Linked DNA regions of Elephas maximus indicus. The protein of the gene in region 1 interacts with the protein of each later gene in a biochemical or structural test. Links are inferred from orthologs where the notes say so. Each region holds a gene or a part of one and is shown in the gene's direction. Other genes may lie near its edges.

The links. The genes of interacting proteins can lie anywhere in the genome.
Region 2: the proteins of EID1 (region 1) and NR0B2 form a complex in vitro, tested with the Homo sapiens proteins (3 studies listed by BioGRID). The link is inferred for Elephas maximus indicus from reciprocal best matches to the Homo sapiens genes EID1 and NR0B2.
Region 3: of the proteins of EID1 (region 1) and FBXO21, one has a biochemical effect on the other in vitro, tested with the Homo sapiens proteins (2 studies listed by BioGRID, with this or other methods). The link is inferred for Elephas maximus indicus from reciprocal best matches to the Homo sapiens genes EID1 and FBXO21.

The regions. Positions count from the first base shown.
Region 1 is NC_064828.1:6,458,846-6,466,789, reverse strand, and holds EID1 (EP300-interacting inhibitor of differentiation 1), read left to right. Parts: upstream 1-4,938; 5' UTR 4,939-5,021; coding exon 5,022-5,585; 3' UTR 5,586-7,785; downstream 7,786-7,944. UniProt on the Homo sapiens protein: Interacts with RB1 and EP300 and acts as a repressor of MYOD1 transactivation. Inhibits EP300 and CBP histone acetyltransferase activity.
Region 2 is NC_064821.1:67,348,299-67,355,009, reverse strand, and holds NR0B2 (nuclear receptor subfamily 0 group B member 2), read left to right. Parts: upstream 1-4,082; 5' UTR 4,083-4,109; coding exon 4,110-4,650; intron 4,651-5,649; coding exon 5,650-5,891; 3' UTR 5,892-6,199; downstream 6,200-6,711. UniProt on the Homo sapiens protein: Transcriptional regulator that acts as a negative regulator of receptor-dependent signaling pathways. Specifically inhibits transactivation of the nuclear receptor with which it interacts.
Region 3 is NC_064840.1:14,886,192-14,893,768, reverse strand, and holds the start of FBXO21 (F-box only protein 21), read left to right. Parts: upstream 1-4,565; 5' UTR 4,566-4,599; coding exon 4,600-4,838; intron 4,839-5,758; coding exon 5,759-5,894; intron 5,895-7,577. UniProt on the Homo sapiens protein: Substrate-recognition component of the SCF (SKP1-CUL1-F-box protein)-type E3 ubiquitin ligase complex.

The DNA.
Region 1 (7,944 bases):
CAGCAAAAACAGTGCTCAGAGGTCAATTGATAGCAATAAATGCACATGTACAAAAAGAAGAAAGGGCCAAAATCAATACATTAACCCTACAACTCAAACAAATAGAAAGAGAGCAGCAAAAGAAGCCCTCGGGCACAAGAAGAAAGCAAATAATAAAAAAAATTAGAGCAAACTTACATGAAATAGAGAATAGAAAAACAACTGAAGGAATTAACAAGACCAAAAGCTGGCTCTTTGAAATTAAAAAAAAAACTGACAGACCATTGGCCAAACTGACAAAACAAAAACAGGAGAGGAAGCAAATAACCCAAATAAGGTATGAGATGGGCGATATCACAACAAACCCAACTGAAATTAAAACAGAATACTATGAAAAATTGTACTCCAACAAATTTGAAAACCTAGAGGAAATGGACAAATTTGTAGAAACAAACTACGTACTTAAACTCTCACAAACAGAGGTGCAACAACTAAATAAACCTATAATAAAAAAGGAGAGAGAGACTGAAAAAGTAACTTTAAAACTCCCAACAACAACAAAAAACGCCTTGGCATTGATGGCTTCACTGGAGAATGCTACCAAACTTTTGGAGAACAGTTAATTCCACTACTACTAAAGGTTTATCAGAGCATAGAAAAGGATGGAATACTCCCAAACTCATTCTATGAAGCCAGCACAACCTTGATACCAAAACCAGGTAAAGACACCACAAAAAACAAAAATTACAGACCTATATCCCTCATGAACATAGATGCAAAAATCCTCAACAAAATACTAGCCAATACAACTCAACAAAATACCAAAAAAATAATTCACCATGACCAAGTGGGATTCATACCAGGTATGTGAGGATGCTTCAACATTAGAAAAACAATTAATGTAATCCATCACATAAATAAAACAAAAGACAAGAACCACATCATCTTATCAATTGATGCAGAAAAGGCATTTGACAAAGTCCAACACCCATTCATGATAAAAACTCTCAGCAAAACAGGAACAGAAGGGAAATTCCTCAACATAACAAAGGGCATTTATACAAAGCCAACAGCCAACATCATCCTAAATGGAGACAGTATAAAAGCATTCCCCTTGAGAACATGAAACCAGACAAGGATGCCCTTTATCACCACTCTTTTTCACCATTGTGTTGGAGGTCCCAGCCAGAGCAATTAGGCTAGAAAAAGACATAAAGGGCATCCAAATTGGTAAGGAAGAAGTAAAACTATCTGATCGTACACACAGAAAACCCCAAGGAATCCACAAGAAAACTACTGGAACTAAAACCAGACTTCAGCAAAGTGTTGGGATACAAGATAAACACACAAAAATAAGTTGGATTCCTCTACATCAACAAAGAGAACTTCAAAGAGGAAATCACCAAATCAATACTATTTACAGTAGCCCCCAAGAGGATAAAATACTTAGGAATAAATCTAATGAGAGAAGTAAATGACCTACACAAAGAAAACTACAAGACATTACTGCAAGAAACCAAAAGAGCCCTATATAAGTGGAAAAACATACCTTGCTTATAGATACCCAGTATCCAGTGCCCTCGAGTTGATTCTGACTCATAGCGACCCTTATAGATAGGAAGACTCAATATTGTGAAAACATCAGTTCTACCCAGAGCCATCTACAAACACGATGCAACTGCCATCCAAATTCCAACGACATTTTTTGATGAAATGGAGAAACAAATCACCAGCCTTATATGGAAAGGGAAAAGGCCCTGGATAAGTAAAGCATTACTGAAGAAGAAGAACAAAGTGGGAGGCCTCACACTACCTGATTTCAGAACCTATTACATCGCCACGGTAGTAAAAACAGCCTGGTACTGGTACAACAATGGATACATAGACCAATGGAACAGAATTGAGAATCCAGATGTAAATTCTTTCACCTCTGAGTAGCTAAAACTTGACAAAAGCCCAAAGTCCCTTAAATGGGGAAAACACAGTCTCTTTAACAAATGGTGCTGGCACAACTGGATATTCACCAGCAAAAAAATGAAACAAGACTCATACCTTACACCATGCACAAAAACTAACTCGAAATGTATCAAAGACCTAAATATAAAATCTAAAACGATAAAGATCACGGAAGAAAAAAATAGGGACAATGCTAGGAGCCATGGCACATGACATAAACAGAACATAAAACATTACTAGCAATGCACAAACACCAGAAGAAAAACTAGATAACTGAGAAAAAAAAGACTTCACCAAAAGAATAAAAAGACTACCTACAGACTGGGAAAAAATTTTCAGCTATGAAAATTCCCATCATCATCTAATCTTTAAAATCTACAAGATACTGCAAAACCTCAACTACAAAAAGACAAATCACCCAATTAAAAAATGGGCAAAGGATATGAACAGGCACTTCACTAAAGAAGATATTCAGGCAGCTCACAGATACACGAAGAAATGCTCACGATCATTAACTATTAGATAAATGCAAATCAAAACTACAATGAGAAACCATCTCATACCAACAAGGCTAGCATTAACTCAAAAAAATGCAAAATAATAAATGTTGGAGAGGTTGTGGAGAGACTGGAACACTTACACACTGCTGGTGTGAATGTAAAATGGTACAACCACTTTGAAAATCAATTTGGCGCTTCCTTCAAAAGCTAGAAATACCATACAACCCAGCAATTCCACTCCTTAGAATATATCCTAGAGAAATAAAAGCTGTCACAGGAATAGATTTATGCACACCCGTGTTCACTGCAGCACCGTTCACAATAGCAAAAAGATGGAAACAACCTAGGCGCCCATCAAATTATGGCACATTCACACAATGGAATACCATGCAACGATAAAGAACAATGATGGATCTGTGAAACATAATATGGATGAATCTGGAAGGTATTATGCTAAGTGAAATTAGTCACAAAAGGGCAAATATTGTATGAGACCACTATTTTAAGAAACCAAGAAAAGGTTTAAACAGAAGAAAACATTCTTCGATGGCTGGAGGGGCGGAGGGAGAGAGGTATTCACTAACTAGATAGTAAACCACCAAAACCGACAAGAATTATCTTAGCTGAAGGGAAGGACAACACACAATACAAGGCAAATCAGCACACTGGACTGAAACAAAAGCTACGAAGTTTCCTGAATACAACCCAACACTCTGAAGGAGAGAGTATCAGGGACAGGGGTGTAGGGCCATGGTTTCAGGGCACATCTAGTTGCATAACCAAGTTTATTAAGAAAATGTTCTGCATTCCAGTTTGGTGAGTGGCGTCTGGGGTCTTAAAAGCTTATGAGCAGCCATCTAAGATGCATCAATTGATCCCAACCCACATAGAGCAAAGAAAGATGAAGAACAACAAAGACACTAGGAAAATATTAGCCCAAGAGACAAAAGGGCCACATAACCCAGAGATGCTATCAGCCTAAGGCCAGAAGAACTAGGTGGTGCCCAGTTACCACCAATGACTGCCCTGACAGGGAACACAACAGAGAGTTCCTGAGGGAGCCGGAGAAAGGCAGGGTGCTGAACTCAAATCCACCTAAAAAGATCTGACTGAGACTGGAGGAACCCCGGAAAACAGGGCCCCTGGACTGTTAACCTAGAACTAAAATCATTCCTGAAGCCAAACCTTCATGCAAAGATCAGACTGGACTCTAGGACATAAAATGATTGCTGTGAAGAAAGTGCTTCTTAGTTCAAGTAGATACAGGAGACTAAACGGGCAACTCCTTTCCAGAGGCGAGATGAGAAGGCAGAAAGAGATGGCAGCTGGTTGAACGGACACAGGAAAGCCGGGGTGGCAAGGAGGAGTGTGTGACACATTAGACGGGTCACAGAACAATGTGTGTATAAATTTTTGTATGAGAAACTAATTTGAGCTGTAAACTTTCACTTAAAGCACAATCAAAAAAAAAAAAAAACAACTCAGTGGAGTACAGGTCTACTCTGACACACACTGGGCGGCCACAAATCAAAATCAACTCTACTATAGCAACTGATTTATACATACCCTACAATACTGCCTTTCCACTCCTAGGTATTGACTCTAGGGAAACACTGGCACATTGGATAAATGGTTATAATATTTTAAAAAATCTAAAAATATTTGCCCATTGTTAGGTCAAGTATAGCATATCTATCCAATAGAATGCTGTGCAAAAATAAAGTGGTATGTGTACGCATACTGACGAAGCTAAATTGTCCAGGCTTTTTTAGAGGACGTTACGTGAAATATGTAAAAACGCACACACATAGAAAATAATATATTCTCCAAAGGGACATAAAGATCCATATACATGCAAAAAGTGGATTGGAAGAACACACACCGAATTGATATTCGTAGAAAGTTACCTCCTGGAGAAAACGACGATGAATTTTTCTTCAGTGGTACTTAGGGAAAACCCAATACACAGGTACTTACTCTTTGTGAATTTAAGGTATTTTTAAGTGACGAAAACAGAAAAGCAGAACGCATACATAAGCTAGATCAGTGGTCGAGAATACAGTCTAGCTTGGAGAAGTAGGAGTCGGATCGACTCCACGGGGTGTGTGTCTGTGTGTCTGCGTGTCTGTGTGAAATGTGGCGCTTAAACCCAAGGCCGCGAACCCTTGAGAACAGCTGTGATTGCCTGGGGACGGGGGTTGGGAGGAGGAGACGCCGGAGGAGCGGGGGGAAGAGCGGGAGGAGGGTGAAGTGCTGTCACGAAGGCAGCGGGGCGTTCAACTCCGCAGCACCACAAGCGGCGGAACGGCTAAGCAGGGCAAAGACAGTCGTGCCCCTGCACGCACAGTCTCTCGGTGTGAAGTTCGAATCCACCGACGCGCAGACGTCAGGCCGCTCGGACTCCCAACGTTGTCTCCGAAGACCCGCCAGCGGCCCCCACCCCAGCAGCGCCCCAGGCGGAGGCGGCAGCCGCAGAGCCGCGCATGCGTACGGGGCTACGCACCCGCAGAGCGTTTGCGCAAGCGCAGCGCCGCGTCTCTCCGCGCTCGCTGGGGACGCTTGGCTAGCGTGTGAGCGGCTGCAATCATGGCGGAGATGTCCGAGCTGTCCGAGCTGTACGAGGAGAGCCCTGACCTGCAGATGGACGTGATGTCTGGCGACAGCGACCCTCCGCAGATGGAGGTAGGCAGCGGGAGCCGCGAGCCGTCGCCGAGCCCCGCCCGCCCCGGGGCCGTGCCGCAGCTGGAGGAGGAAGGCCCGATGGAGGAGGGGGAGGCCCCGCCGATGGCCGGGGCGGCGGGCCTGGCGGGCGGGCGCGGCGGCGGGGAGCAGCCCGGGCCGGCGGCCGCCGACGGGGAGAGCGGGGACGAGGGCGAGGAACTGGACGACTGGGAGGACGACTACGACTACCCCGAGGAGCAGCAGCTCCGGGGTGCCGGCTACAGGGTGTCGGCGGCCCTGGAAGAAGCCAACAAGCTGTTCCTGCGAACGTCCGGAGCCAGGGAGGCCGCCCTGGACGGCGGGTTTCAGGTGCAGTACGAGAAGACCCCGTTTGATCAGTTGGCGTTTATCGAAGAGCTCTTTTCCCTGATGGTTGTCAATCGTCTGACCGAGGAACTCGGCTGTGATGAGATGATCGATAGGGAGTAAGCAAAGGCTGGTGGAAGAGGGAGGAGAGACCCAGCATCCCATTATTTTTTGGGTTCATTCGAAATAGCTCCGTGCCAATGCAACACTTGATCTTCAAAAACAAAAAACATTGTGTTCATTTTGTAGAAGAGGATAGGACAGTGACTGCACAGTTGTGAGAAACGAAGAGAATCGCCAAGAAGGAAGGGCCTGCGGACTGTTGAGAAATGTTTTCAAGAATGCCCCGAAACACCCATGCCTTTGACTTTGCTATTAATCCAGATTGTTTCCCTTGTGTTGGGAAAATAGCTTTCATATCGGCTGCACAGCAAGGGATGGCTTTGCAAGAACAGGGAATGACCAAGACGAACTGCCAGTAAAAGAGCCCACTGATAGTACCTGTCTGATGAGAAAGAACAACGAAAATGTCCAGCGTGGGACACAAGATGTCTTTGAATTATTTGGACTGGAAGCCTATTGAGAAAACTTTGAAAATTCTGATTTTGTGACCTATTCAAGTCGTAGTTATCAAACGCTAAATTATTACTGTAACATAAATTGAGTTGTTTTCAGTATCTCAAAAAGATGAGCAAATCCAAAAATATCACATGTGCTGTATCTTTAAATGTGTTTCCAGAGCATCTTAATTTTGTTTATATATGTATCTTGATCATTTATAAAGCTACGATGGTCTATACAAGAAAATCCATGTCGTGACCACTTTAAACGGTAAAAAATTAAGACCTCTTTCATTAACAATTTTAGACAGTATGTTACTGAAAGTACAAAAAAATAATTTCTAACACTCTTATACACAGGGGAAATTTCTGTTTTGTTCCTCTCTCACTTAACAGGCAAAAGATTTTAGTTGAAATTAATACTATAAGAACTGTGGGTGCAAATTGTAACGTAAGAGGAAAGTTGTACATCTAAAAAAATTGAACAATTATGTTATTAATCTTCTAAAGGTTTTAAACCTGCCCAGAAATCCACTTCAGTATCTGAGGTTTCCCTCTCTCTCCTCCTCTAATTAAGCTTGTTATTTGTAATGCACCAGCATTCCAGATAATAAAATTTCTTGTTCTGTGTACTTTGTTTGGCTAATAGTATTGCACTTTTTATTGTATGAATTACTGCAACCACTTAATGATTTAAATTTAACCAGTATTTATAAGGGAAAGCATCCAGCTTCAGATACCTGATGCACAGATTAAGTTGTGGAAAGCAAACTGAGTAAATTAAGTATTGCCAACCTAGGAAAACCTGCAGTGTCAGTGAGCATGCTGCTGTGTTTATTAAGATCCTGAAGTTCCAGGAGGAAAAACTGTTAGAAGGCTGCACCCAGTAAAAACAGGATCAGCAGGCTCTGTGATGACTAGTAAAATTACCTGATGTTCCCGCTTCACTAGAGCGATAAAGGCACGTCCAGTACCACAGGACAACTCGGCTTTATTTATGTTAGTCACCCTGTTCTTTGGGAAGGGGGTTCTTTTCTGTAAAATATAAGACTGACCATTAAGTAAGGATGGTCACGATCACTCAAACAGTAGCCTGGTGGGGTAAGGAGAGGGGACAGACAGGAGGTAAAACATTGGCGTTTATACATTTTAATCCTGCTGCCTCTCAGCTCTTCCACTGCTTTCTCAAATAGCCTGTAGCTGCAGTCAAATGCATCTGTAAATGATTACGCAATATAAATTAACAGTGCTCTGAAAAAAAAAAAAAAGAATGGCAGTACACAATAAACGCCAGTTGCATTTACCTCCAAATAAAGGCTCAGGAAAAAACAGCTGTGCGAACTGGGAGGTTATGCTTCTTTTTCCCTCTCAGACTGAGCAGGGAGCAAGGAGGATGGGGAGAAAACCCACATTCCCTGTTGAGTTTGAAGACAGCTTAAGAAGAAAGACCTGGGCTCTGCAACTGGTTAGTGGTTTTAAAAATAGGAAGTAACCTGAGAGACCACTGAAAATGATTAATATTTACTGAAGATGGAAAATGGCAACATTTTAACGCCCCTTTTAGGGGTGTAAAAATCACATTTCTTTTAAATTTTGGAGTTCTCACAGACTGGAATCAGAGTACTTGGTTCAAATTTGGGCCCCACTACTTACTGGGTCTGTAACTGGGTAAGTTATTTCTCTACTTTAAAGTCCTTAACTGAATATGGGTGTAATAATTGCATGTACCTTATAAATTGGCCATTTAATGGAAATTAAAGGTGTTCTGAGGAAACCATGGTCCTGATTTGGGGGACGGAGTGGGTGGAAGGAACTCGGACAACCTTATGAGTGCATAATATGATTTGGGGAGGGTTTTCTACACCTATCCATAACCTATTCAAGCCGATTCTGACTCCTAGCAACACTACAGGACAGAGTAG
Region 2 (6,711 bases), on another chromosome or scaffold:
TGTGAAAGACCAGGACAGACTGAGGGGCTTTTCCACACTGCCAGAGACTAAAGAGCCATGACAAATAAATGCAATGTAAGATCCTGGACCGAGTCCTCTCAGTGCCACAGATTTCTCTGGGGCATTTGGTGAAATTAAAATGTGGTTTAAGATTAGCTGGTGGTACAGATTGAGTTGTGTCCCCCAAAAAGATATATTGAAGTCTTAACCCTGGAGCCTGTCACTGTTTGGAAATAGGGTCTTCGAAGATGTCATCAGTTAAATTAACATGACGTCATAGTGGAGTAGGGTGGGTCCTAATCCAATCTGATGGATGTCTTTATAAAAGAGAAGAGACACAGTGAGACAGAGGAAAAACTCCCTTGTAAAGATGCATTTACACACCAAGGAATTCCTGGGGCTACCAGAAGCTGGAAAAGACAAGAAAGGAAATTCCCCTAGGGACTTCATAGACTATGGCCCTGTTGACACCCTGAATTCGGACTACTAAACTCCAGAACTGTGATGCAAATAATTTCTGTTCTTATAAATCACCCAATTTCTGCTCTTATAAATCACCTTGTCAACACCCTGAATTTGGACTACTAACCTCCAGAAGTGTGACACAACTAATTTCTGTTCTTATAAATCACCCAATTTGTGGTGTCTTATTGCAGCGCTAGGAAACTAATACAGATGTTCAATGTTCAATGTTCAGTGTTAATTTCCTGATTTTTGTGGTTTTATTGTGGTTTGTAGGAGAAAGTATGTGGCTATTTCCTGATTTTGCCTTATATTACAGGGAATTATGGGACATGAGATTGACAAATTACTCTCAAATGGTTCAGGGGAAAAAAACTTCCCTGTACTGTACTTCCAACTTTTCCATAAGTTTGTGATTGTTTTGAAATAAAAGCAAATAAATCATTGACATGTGAAGAGGTGAACAAAGAGTGTGTAGCTAAAAATTGTAGGCAAAAAAAATTTTGGATATAGTGGTGATAGTTGTACAACATTGTGGATGTAATTAATGCCACTGAATTGTATGTTTAAAAATGGTTAAAATGGCAAATTCTATGTTATATATGTTTCACCACAATTTAAAAATATGTAGGCAGATATTATCAGGAAATTTGTTAATAAAAATATCTTGCTATTCTCCTGGGTTTGTTTGTGTTTTCTGTCAGTTTATTTTAAATTTATAATTCGTAGCAATTTGTTTTCGCATGCTTAATATTCACATTGATATCTAATTTTCTCTTCTTAAAGAGGACCCTGCAATTTGTATAAGACGTTCTAAGCCCCATAAAACCAGTATCCACCTCTGGCCATTCTTGCCACTATTTTAAAGAGGAGGAAACTGAGGCACAGAAAGATAAAGTGATTTACCCAAGGTCACTCAGCTAGGAAGTGATGCAGCAGGATTTGAACCTAGGCAATCTATCTCCAGAATCTCCTCCAGTGGGATGCAGTGAGGATCCAGCGAGATAAAAGGACATGACAGGAACTTTATAAATTCAAGGAACCAAGATTATTCACAATTAAATGAAAGATGTGTGCCTGTTTTTCTGCAGGTATTTAGTTCCTTAGGCAGAGGAAAAGGGGAGTAAAGTCCCCCTACTGTGTGCCAGAAGCTGCTTGGAACTTGAAATCAGGATTTCATTTTGTCCTCACAGCAGCTCTGCTGGCAGGTATTATTGCCCCAAATGAGGTGCCGGGGGCCCACAGAGGACACACAGCCAGAATGTGATGGAGCCCGGAGCAGATGCCCAGGCTAGGTGGTGACAGCACGTATCTCTCCCTTCCCAGGGTAGCAGGCTGCCCTATACTCTGAAAGCAAAAGGTTTGCCAGGCTGAGCTTGCCCAGGTGCAGGGATGTGACACAGGTGAGGACCTCCTCACCTCCTCCCCCACCCCACACCCCACCGTGAGACAGATGCCCAGGACAGAGGAGTCATGTTGTGGGCAGGGCAATATTTCTGCCCAGAGCACAAGTGGGCATCACCTGCAGACCCAGCAGCAGCAAAGTGGGTGCTCACCCAGGTAGCCACCAGCTCTGGTTGCATGATTGGACCAGTGGCTGAAGGGAACAAACAAGGACTTCCCAGTCAGACAGATCTGGGCTCTGTCCCTTCCTAGCTGCGTGACCTTGGGCAAATGGCTTCACCTCTTTAAGTCTCACAAAGTAAAAATCTTGCCCCATAAGGAAGTTCTGAATATTAGAGTGCAAAGTACCTGGCATGTAGTAGGTGCTCAGTAAATGGCAGCCATGTTTTATTATTAATCTGTGAGGGCTTCTCAGCAGATGTGGCTTTTTGGGAGCTCAGAGAATCCAGGCTGGGGAGAGGGAATTCTAAAGGAGCTTATTTCTGCAGGCCCCTCTCTGAGTCACCTAGTGCTGCTATAACTGAAATACCACAAGTGGATGGCTTTAACAAAGAGAAATTTATTTTCTCACAGTCTAGTTGGTTACAAGTCCAAATTCAGGGTGTTGGCTCCAGAGGAAGGTCCTTGTCCTTAACCTTCCCATGGTTGAGGAGCTTCTCAGGTGCAGGGACCCGTGTTTAAAAGACTCACTCTGCTCCTGGTGCTGCTTTCTTGGTGGCATGAGGTCCTCAACTCTCTGCTTGCTTCCCTTTCCTTTTATCTTAAGAGATAAAAGGTGGACATAAACCAGAGACTACATCAGCCTGAGACCAGAAGAACTAGATGGCACCTGGCTACAACCGATGACTGCCCTGACAGGGAACACAACAGAGAACCCCTGAGAGAGCAGGAAAGCAGTGGGATGCAGATCTCAAATTCTTGTAAAAAAGACCAGACTTAATGATCTGACTGAGACTAGAAGGACCCCAGAGGTCATGGTCCCCAGACCTTCTGTTAGCCCAAGACAGGAACCATTCCCAAAGCCAACTCTTCAGACAGGGATTGAACCGGACTATGGGATAGAAAATGATACTGGTGAAGAGTAAGCTTCTTGGATCAAGTAGACACATGAGACTATGTGGGCAGTTCCTGTCTGGATGGGAGATGAGAGGGCAGAGGGGGTCAGAAGCTGGCCAAATGGACACAAAAATAGAGAGTGAAGGGAAGAGTGTGCTGTCTCATTAGGGGGAGAGCAATTAGGAGTATATAGTAAGGTGTATATAAATTTTTGTCTGAGAGACTGACTTGATTTGTAAGCTTTCACTTAAAAAAAAAAAAAAAAAGCACAATAAAAATTAAAAAAGAGAGAGATAAAAGGTAGTGTAGGCCACGCCCCAGGGAAACTCCCTTTACAGTGGATCAGGGAGGTGACCTGAGTAAGGGTGGTGTTACAATTCTGCCCTAATCCTCTTAACATCAAATTACAACCACAAAATGGAGGACAACCACACAATACTGGGAATCATGGCCTGACCAAGTTGACACAAATTTTTTGGGGGACACAATTCAATCCATGACAGGCCCCCAGAGCTGGAGTCAGGGAAGGGGCCTCTAGATAGTGGGCACAGTCCTCCAGCCTCCCAGGGTCCTGGCTCCCTCCCCCACTGCCTGTTACTTACCAACAACAGGCTCAGGGCCCCAAGGTTAGACAAACAAGCCAGCGATAAGGCATTTCCAGGTTGGGCTTGCGTTCAAGGCTTGCGCAGCTCTGGGCTGGCTGCCTGGCTTAGTGAGAGCCCTGGTCTTGCGTGCACACAAGAGCAGGGCACCAGTAGGGACACCTGCCATGGTCACCTGCTGATTGCGCACCTGAGGCCTTGGTGCCCTGGTACAGCCTGGGTTAATGACCCTGTTTATCCGCTTGAGTCGCCTGATAAGGGGCAGTGGGGTCAGCTGGCAGGCGGCCTTGTGCCCTGCACCGGCCCTTTCATTGACAGAAGTGATATCAGTGCCACATGGAGCACCCACTGTGCCCCTCCCCTGCCACTTCCCTGTCAGTCCTGCCAGGGTCAGTGTGTGTGTGTGTGTGTGTGTGTGTGTGTGTGTGTGTGTGTGTGTGTGTGTGTGTGTTTTTCAATGAACATGACTCCAGGAGTCAAGGTTGTCTGGGCATTCCCCCCTCCCGCCCTCGGGGATATAAATAGCACCCACAGCTCAGAGCAGAGGGCGGGAGAGCTAGGAAGAAGGAGAAACAGATCCCAACCATGAGCTCCAGCCAGCCAGCGGCCTGCCCATGCCAGGGTGCTGCCGGCCGCCCAGCCATCCTGCATGCACTCCTGAGCCCTAGCCTCAGGGCCAGGCCCTTCGTCCCCCCAACTCATAGCCGCTGCCTGTGCCAGCAGCACAAGCCTGTCCGCCTGTGTACTCCCCACCGTACCTGCCAAGAGGCCTTGGATGTTCTGGGCAAGACGGTGGCCTTCCTTAAGAACCTGCCATCCTTCTGCCAGCTGCCCCCCCAGGATCAGCGGCGGCTGCTGCGGGACTGCTGGGGTCCACTCTTCCTGCTTGGGCTGGCCCAAGACACTGTGACCTTCGAGGTGGCCGAGGTCCCAGTGGCCAGCATACTCAAGAAGATCCTGCTGGAGGAGCCTGGTAGCAGTGGCAGCAGCAGTCAGCTTCCTGACAGGCCCCAGCCCTCCCTGGCTGCAGTACAGTGGCTTCAGTGCTGCCTGGAGTCCTTCTGGAGCCTGGAGCTGGGCCCCAAAGAGTATGCCTACCTGAAAAAGACCATCCTCTTCAACCCTGGTGAGCCTCCGGACACTCTTGGAGGGATGGGTCAAGGCTTGGGGTAGGGGGAGGTGGATAAGGCTCATCCAGGGAAGGCACCTTCTAAGGGCTTGACATCCTTTATCTCATTGGGTCCATATTATCATTAAATACTCATCTCAGTGAAGAGGCCCACAGAGGCTAGGTGACTTGTTGAAGGTCATGCAGCCAGGTAGGGGCAAGACAGGGATCAGGAACTCAGGTCTATTCGCTCCAGAGACTGGCCCTTGTTACTCTGTACCCAAAATGTTTCCCTACCCTTAGGGAAGGCAGGAATGGGGTGAGAACGGGCAGATGCAGCTGTGTTTCGATCCCATCTCCAGGGGCAGACCGTGTAGTAAGCTTCTCTGAAGGTAGAACTCCGTGGGTTCAGAAAAACCACATAGAAGGGAGGAACAAAGGGCGTGTTCGGGAGAGGGAGGGAGTCTTAGTGACACTCACCAGGACAGCACCAGTTGGAGATACAAGCAAAAAGTTGGAGATAGGGCTCTTTTAATCTGGAGAGCATCTGAGATGAGAGTTCCCCACCAAAGGGCCTCACAGAATGCTTACTTACAGTAATTCATTATAATAATAGTAGTGAATGCTCATATTATACTTACTGTATGTTAGGCCCTATTCTAGGGGTTTTACATACACTAGCTCATTTAAACCTCAAAATAAGCCTATGAACTAGGTACTATTACTTCCATTTTACAGATAGGGAAAACTGAGGCACAGAGATGAGGTAACTTGCTTAAGGTCACATAGCTTATAATTGACAGCACTGGGATTCAAACCCAAGCAGCTCTTAACCATTACTTTATACTGCCCCTCTATACATAGATGGATGAATAAAGTGAGCAACGAATAGGAGGAGGTCATGACTGGGCCTCAAAGGCTGAGCAAAGGAGGCAGAGAGGTGTCTGCTGGCAGCCTTGCCCTTTGATGGCTGGGAGTGGGGTGCTCACCAGTCCTTTTCACCCTGTCTGCCCACAGATGTGCCAGGCCTCCTCGCCCCCTCCCACATTGGGTACCTACAGCAGGAGGCTCACCAGGCGCTGTGTGAGGTCCTGGAGGCCTGGTGGCCAATAGGCCAAGGCCGATTGGCCCGGATCCTCCTCATGGCCTCCACCCTCAAGTCCATCCCACCTGGCCTGCTTGGGGACCTCTTTTTTCGCCCTGTCATTGGAGACGTCGACATGGCTGGCCTTCTAGAGGACATGCTTTTGCTGAGCTGACTTGCTCCGGCCCAGGCAGAGATCAGGTGTAGGCTGGGCAGAGGTTAGCAGCACTGACTCAGCCTGGCTGACCCCAGGAGTCACCCAGTGCTTCTGAAGGGGGCAAGCCTATATAGACAGCAAGCCACGCCTAGTCTAGCCAGATGGGCTATGGGACCTTCACTCAGCTCCACCCTGCCTTGGCTTCTTTGGTTTGGACACAGTGCTCCAGCTGTCTGGCTAGCCCTTGGTGGTCCCCAGGGCCTCTGGCCCAAGACTACTCTCCTGTCTGGGATGAGAATGGACACTTAGGCTGCTCGTTGGGCCAAAAGTCTACTGCCTTGTACAGAACTCACTTAAGTTATTGGTTTTTGTAATAAAAGGTATGACACCCTCAGAGTCTGATACTGTAGTTTGTGCGTGTGGAAGGGACCATCTCACCTCCAGGGTCCATCCTGCCCCTTTCAGAGGGAGTCCGGGGGGAAGGAGCCATAACAGGTACAGGAGCTGGGCCTTGGGGAATTGAGGTATTAATTTTTCAGGATGGCTTGATGATTTCATTTTCTGGGAAGATTTATTTTGCATCTGGGTCTGAACTCAGGGGACAGGATTAGTTCAAAACCCCCGTACCTCCTTGGTTTTATCCTTGGAGCAGGGGCTTCTCCCCCATCCCCAAACCCCCACTGACTCCTTCTCTGGTCCTTACCCCCTACAGGTTCCCACTCCCCTCACTAAGAGTCTGATCATAGCCAATCAGGCAAATGAAGCAGCCCATTCCCAAGTTGAAACAGACAAGGCCTCTGGAACTGCTATAGTAGAATAATTCACTTTCCCCATTCCT
Region 3 (7,577 bases), on another chromosome or scaffold:
GTATATGTATTGTTTCATTTAATAGGAAGGCCTATCATGATACCCATTTTACAGGTGAGGAGACTGAGGCCCAGAGAAGTGAAACTCTACTGGGCATTTGGTTATGAATGATGAGGGAAAGAGAGGAGGCAGGGATGGCTACAACTTTCTGTTCTGCAAGAAAAAGGTGGATGGGTAACCCTTTCCTAAAGCAGGAACCACTGGGGGAGGACAAGGTGAAGTTGAGGGGAAAGAGTTACCTCCTGGAGAGACTGATTTTGAGCGGCCCAAAGGGAATGTCAGGTCAGCAGTTGGCTAAGAGAGTTTAGATGTTACAAGAGCAGGCTGGGTGGAAGAGAGAAACGTGAAGGTTTAAATTGGGTTTGGATTGTCATTTGGGTTGTAGACAGGGGTGATATGGTCAGAAGAGAGAGTGAAAGAGGGGGCCTGCACCCGAGGAATTCCAACACGTGACATCTGGGTGAGGTGGGAGGACCAAGAGAAGGTGGGGCCACAGATGCCAAGGCAAACCAGTGTTTCCAGAAGGTCCAGAGGGAGCAGGGTAGTAAACAGAGTCAGCTACTGCTAGAGGGAAGGCAAGAGCAAGGCCAGAAAACATCTACTGGATTTAAAGGTGGTGAAGGCCCAGACTCTCCCCCAGCTCTGCCTGACTGCCGGAGCTGCCCCACACTTTTCTGCTTTCATGAGAGTAGAAGCTGTAGTAGCAGAAATAGTAGTAACACACTTTTTTTTTTTAATTGAGGTCAAATCCACATAACAAAAAATTAACCATTTTAAAGTGAACTGGTCAGTGGCACTTAGTACTCTCACAATGTTGTGCAACTAACGCCACCTCTATCTAGTTCCCAAACTTTTCCATCACCCCCAAAATCAAACCCGGAAAAAAACAATTCAAATTCACCTGAAAAGACCGGACTTACTGGTCTGACAGAGACTGGAGGAACTCCCAGAACTATAGCCCCCGACACTCCACTAACCCAGAACTGAAACCATTCCCGAAGGCCAATTTTCAGACAAAGATTAGACAGGCCTATAAAACAAAAAATAATACATGTGTGGAATGTGCTTCTTAGTTCAATCAGATATACGAGACCAAATGGGCAGCTCCTGTCCAAAAGCTGGACGGATGAGAAGGCAGGAAGGGACAGGGACTAGAAGAACAGACATGAGGAACCCAGGGTAGAAAGGGGGAGCATGCTGGCACACTGTGGGGATTGCAACCAATCTCATAAAACAATGTGTGTATAAATTTTTGAATGAGAAATTAACTTGAGTTGTAAACTTTCACGTAAAGCACAATAAAAAGAAAAAACAAGACCAGACTTACTGGCCAGATGGAGTCTGGAGAGACCCTGTGACTACGGCCCCCAGACACCATTTTAACTCAAGACTAAAGTCACTTCTGGAGCTCACCGTTAGCCAAAGATTAGACAGGTCTATAAAACAAACAATAACACACTTGAGGAACATGCTTTGTAGTTCAATCGTGTATACAAGATGGACACACCATCCCCAAAGCAAAGATGAGAAGGCAGGAAGGGACAGGAGAGCTGGACGAATGGAAATGGGGAACCCGGGGTGGAGAAAGGGAGAGTGTTGACACATCTCAGGGTTGGCAACTAATGTCACGAAACAATTTGTGTATTAGTTGTTTTATGAGAAACTAATTTGCTCTGTAAACTTTTACCTACCCGTAACCCATTGCTGTCGTGTCGATTCTGATTCAAACCGACCCTATAGGACAGGGTAGAGCTACCTCATAGCGTTTCCACGGAGCGCCTGGTGGATTCGAACTGCCAACCTTGTGGTCGGCAGCTGTTAACTCTTAACCACTATGCCACTAGGGTTTCTAAACTTTCACCTAAAGCACAATAAATAAATAATAAAACCCAGTACCCATTAAGCGTTTTCTCCCCATTTCCTCATAATAGGCTTTTTTTTTTTTATTTTAATTGTGCTTTAGGTGAAGGTTTGCAGCTCAAGTTAATTTCTCATACAGGAGTTTATACACACATTGTTATGTGACCCTAGTTGGTATCCCTGTAATGTGACAGCACACTCCTCCTTTCCACCCTGGGTTTCTAATGTCCATTCAACCAGCTCCTGTCCCTTTCTGCCTTCTCATCCGGCCTCCAGACAGGAGCTGCCCATTTTGTCTCGTGTACCTCCTTGAACAAAGAAGCACACTCTTCAATGTAACAGACTTTTATCGAGCACTTTCTGTGTGCCAGGCACTGTTCTACATACTACACATGAATTTACTCATTTAATCCTCACAACAGCCCCAGGGGGCAGACATTATTACCCATTGTTGTGGAGTCAAATTCCGACTCATAGAGACCCTATAGAACAGAGTAGAACTGCCCATAGGGTTTCCAAGGTTGTGATTTTTACAGAACCAGACTGCCACATCTTTCTCCCATGGAGCAGCTGGTGGGTTCAAACTACCAACCTTTTGTTTAGCAGCTGAGCACTTAACCACTGTGCCACCAGGCTCGGTTTCCTCATCTGTAATTAGTATCCCCATTTTACAGATGAGGAAACTGAGCCTTAGAAAGGCTACGTAACTTGGTCTAGTCACACAGCTGGTTAGACAAACACAATCGACAGGTAATTATTGAGAATCTGCTATGTACGTATGTGCCAGGCCTGTGCCCGGTAACTGGGCATCCAGAGGTGATTCAAACAGACATGGCCTTGATTCTGAAATCGCTTCTGATGCAAGTTGAACAAATAGGTATTAATAACTACACGACTGCAAAGTGCTGGGAAAGAGCTGTATTTGGTGTGTGGGAGGGAGGTGAGTGAGGGAAGGGGGGACATCCAGGGAGGTTAAACTGAGGACTAGAGTGCTCTGCTGCTAACGGAGAGGTTGGCGGTTTGAACCCACCCAGCAGCTCTACGAGAGAAAAGACCTGGCAATCTGCTCCTATAAGGATAACAGCTTAGAAAACCCTCCGGGGCAGTTCTACTGGGTTCTATAGGACAGGGCTTCCAACCGTGGTTCAACCCCCTGCCGAGAATTTGCATTCCCATTCCAGATTTTCTGAGTCAGAATCTACAGTTTAACAAGATCCCCAGGTGATTGTATTTACTAAATCTGGTTTGGAAATGCAAATTCTCAGCAGGGGTTTGAAATGGAATATAGCCCCTTGGAAGCCCTGCTATAAGGTAGCTATGAGTCAGAAGCAACTCCATGGCACCTAATGACTACAGAGGAAGAGGAAGAACAGCTAGAAGAAGGAGTGCTGTGCTGGCTTGAAGTACATTCCGGGCAGAGGAATAGAATGTGTGTCAAGGCCAGAAGGGGGAGGAAAGAGAAGACCAGTCTGGCTGTGTGTGGCTGCTGCGGGAGAGAATGGCTGGATAGAGGCAAGGAGTAGTAGACAGGGGTTTGTCCCTTTGCAACAATGTCAGGGGTTTCAGATTTATTTCTAAGGGCAGTAGGGAGCCATAGATGGCTCTATCCCATCCACTAAGAGGGACATTACTAGTTCAACTCTCTGTGCATCCTGATTTCCAGGTTAGGGGGAGTTCTCTACGGCAGCCTCCATGTACTGACAACAGACCTGCTTGTCCTCCCTAATTGGACCTTGAGCTCCTGGGGCAAAGAACTCTGTCTTACTCACCTCGGTATCCCCAGGGCACACAGCACAGGGCCTGGCACTGAACTGAGTTGAATTAAGAAAAGAAGTTGTAGGCACTGAGAAGAGTACCCACCTACATCTGAGTGGTAATCCCTGCTTTGAAGGTTGAAACCCAGGCTATACCACTGTTTATCTCTGACTTTGAGCCAACCCCATTATGAGCCTTGTTTTCCTTATCTGTAGAATGGGCATAATCAAGGTACCTATCCCATAGGGCTCGAATGAGGAGCCCTCGAAAACATATATGGAAAGCGCTTGGCACTTTTTTGTGATTATTACAGCATACTGGTTAAGAACACAGTAAAGCAGAAGTCAAGAGAATGTGGATTAGAACCCAGAGCAAGGGGTCCCAAGCAAACAGTTTACCTCCTTGAGCCTCAGTTTCCTCACCGGTGATTTGGGATGAGGGATAATAATAGTTCATGTGGTTGTTGGGACAAGAAGCCCTGGCGGTGCAATGGTTAGCTCAGCTGCTAACGGAAAGGTCAGCTGTTTTAACCCACCAGCCATTCCGCGGGAGAAAGAGCTGGTGATCTATTTCCGTAAAGATTACAGTCTAGGAAACCCTATAGGGCAGTTCTCCCCTGTCACATGGGGTTCCCAGGAATCGGAATCCTCCCCGCCCCCTACTGCCCCCAACAACAACATGGTTGTTGGGAAGGTCCCATCAGCTAATGCACAGGAGGTGTTCGGCATACATATAAGAAAGATGGCTGCTATTCTTATTGCCCCTGAATAGAGGGCTAGAGACCCTTCACAGGTCCTGGACACAGCACGTTTTCCCAGACCGCTTCCTTCACTGGCCGCTCCCGCAGCGCAGAGCAACCCCCGGCCCGGCCTGTGGCCACGAGTGGGCGGGGCGATCTGGGGCCCGCCCCCTGAGGCGGGTGGGCGGGGCGAAGCGGGGCGCCCTGGCGCGCGCGCACGCGGCGGCCCCAGGTACGCGGACAAGATGGCGGCGGCAGTGGTCGACAGCGCGATGGAGGTGGTGCCGGTGCTGGCGGAGGAGGCCGCGCCGGACGCGGCGGGACTCAGCTGCCTGGTCAACCTGCCGGGCGAGGTGCTGGAGTACATACTGTGCAGCGGCTCGCTGACGGCCGCCGACATCGGCCGCGTCTCCAGCACCTGCCGGCGGCTGCGCGAGCTATGCCAGAGTAGCGGGAAGGTGTGGAAGGAGCAGTTCCGGGTGAGGTGAGCCCGCGGCCCCGGCCGCCAGCCCGCCCCGGCCCCGCCTCCGGGCTCCACGACCCTCCCCGCGTCCCCGAGCCCGCGGCCCGCAGTCCCGGCCCTGCGCCCCCAGGACCCCGGGCCTGCCGGGCCTCAGCCGCCCCCTCCCTCCCTGCGGCCGCCGCACCAGGACCCCACCCCCGGCCCCTTTCCCGCGGACGGACAGACAAACAAAGGCCTCCAGGCCGCTAGCCCCGCGGGTCTACGCCGCTGCGGACCCTCCGGTGCCCAAATTGCGCATCTGGAAGTGCCAGCAGACTGGCCCTCCATGAAGGATGACGATGGCGGTGTCACCGCTAATCCAGTTTGCGCGCTTCTTTTGTGCCCGAGTCTGTGCTAAAATGTTTACACGGATCGGGGAACGCAGTGGTCCTAACAGCCCTTGGAGGAAGCGAGCGCAACATCCCCTGGTTGTTCGTTGAGAGCAGATTTCAATGTTGGACCCGGGATAAAATCTCGGCCCTGCCACTTACTCGCTCATGACCTTGGGAGAAGTGACTTCCCTTTTTCTGAGCCTTATTCGTGGACTTTTGAATGGTGATGATAATGAGACCTGCCTCTTAGAGTGGTTTCTAAATAAGATGATGTGTGGGAAGCCCTTACATTAGGGCCCAGCTCTTAGAAGGCGCCCAATACATGTTACTTGTTGTTATTGTTGGTGCTACTATTGTCCCCATTTTATAGATGGGGAATGGAGACAGCAGTGATGTCACTTCGCCAAGGTCACACCAGGAGTGAGTGCCTGAGTGCGGCCCTGGTGGAGGTTTGAATTAGAGCCAGGGTCCCTTAATCACTACTGACCCATACTGCTGCCACCCAGGTTCCCCAGGCTGCCTTTGCAATCCCAAGTCTCTTAAGCTGAGAGGGTGTTTCTCTCCTTGTAGGTGGCCTTCCCTTATGAAACACTACAGCCCCACCGACTACGTCAATTGGTTGGAGGAATATAAAGTTCGACAGAAAGCAGGGTTAGAAGCCCGGAAGATTGTAGCCTCATTTTCAAAGAGGTTCTTTTCAGAGCACGTAAGGATCCGTTGATGGAGTACTAACCCTTTGCCTGGTAGTCCTGTATGTCTGGGTCTGTAGGAATTAGCTCATCCAGTTCTTTTTGATTATCTTCCTTTTCAGCTCTCACAAGCCCAGACTCAGATGGCTCCAAGAGTCATTGTGTGCTTTTCCTGCTATCCACCAACATGAAGTCATTTGTCCCTGCTTGACAAAAGCGTTACTTTTCTAAAGCCAGAGAGAGAATGGGGATGGAGGCGGTAGGGAGGGGGACACGAAGCACAACGTGGAGGGACTCCAGATTGGCATTATTGCTTGTCAAATGGGTTGAACATGTTTTTTGCAGTCTCCTCGTAATTTGGGGGATCATCGATGATTGAGCACTACAGATTTCCACCAGTTGTTTTTCCAGAAGGGTGGATGAAATTAATTGGGTTCTCCTCTCTGGCTTTGCAGATTCTAACCGTTAGTGAACTGCTTTGTTTGTTTAAAGTAACAGAAGGATTAAAAGCTATACATAAATCAGTTATTATTCCCGCAATAAAATTATCTTGCAATCATTATTCCTTTTAAGTTTAAAAAAAAAAAAATTGCTGAAATGCGTGGTTTTTTGTTGTTTTTTTTTCCCCCTTCTTCAAGATGTCTCGTGAAATTTCTCTATCACTAGCTCCTAACTCATACCTTTTTGAAACTCAGGAAAATAACCCACAGCGATATTATAAATTCACCAAACTGTTAGATAATTTATTTCAATTTGGGCTCTAGACACAGAGCCAATCTAATTTATTTTACTATCCCGATTTACTGAAGATTAATTCCTATTTTCTAAGTTTTTATTGCTGCTAATTGAGTTCATAAATTTGAAGTGTTTTGAAGACTTCAAGTTTTGAAAGGAGAAATTTGAACTTTGGGCAAATTTCAACTTCCCCCATGGAAACTAGAAATAGATACTCTCTAGTATAATTCACTTCCATAAATGTTGATTTATATTAGAATGAACAAAATTTAGTTCCACTTTGGAGAAGCCACGACCTGGCTGAAGGCACTCATCATCAGAAATTTAAGTTCTGGCTGAAATGGATTTGTGCACACATGTATCTCTCTGCTATGTGTTTGATGCACTTGGCCATGGGTTACTAGTTTACAGCCTCAACGTCTAGGCCAGCTGGTTTTGTGTTCATTTTTAACAGCCTGTGCGTTTCTGTGATGATGATGACTTACCGTTATCGTTAGACCTGAAGCGAGGACTTTGAATATAGCAGGAGTATGCTTAAAACCGATGGATGGGTGCGTGCTCACTGTGGTTCAGGACCCTGTGTTCTTAGCACGCACCCAGGTTGATCTGAAACTTCCTGGCTACTTTCAAAAAGAAAAGTGGTGGAAGTAATAGAGTATTAAACTGAGGGGGCCTTACAGCTCACATGTAATATCACCTCCATTTACAAAGGAGAAAACAATGTTAAGGAAGTTGCCTAAAGTGCTCTTCTTATCTCTCTAGCCTGCCCCTCCTAGTTGACTACGATGTAGAAGGCTGGAAATAGTTACGTTGAATTCTGAGATTTTGTGTTTGTAGTCCCCCTGTGAGAGCGATCTAATTTTCTTCACCTTAAAACAGTTTCAGAAATTTCAGTCTGTGAAAACATAGTTAATATACAAGTAACAGCAAGATCTGAATATATCATTGTTACTTTCCATGTGCGG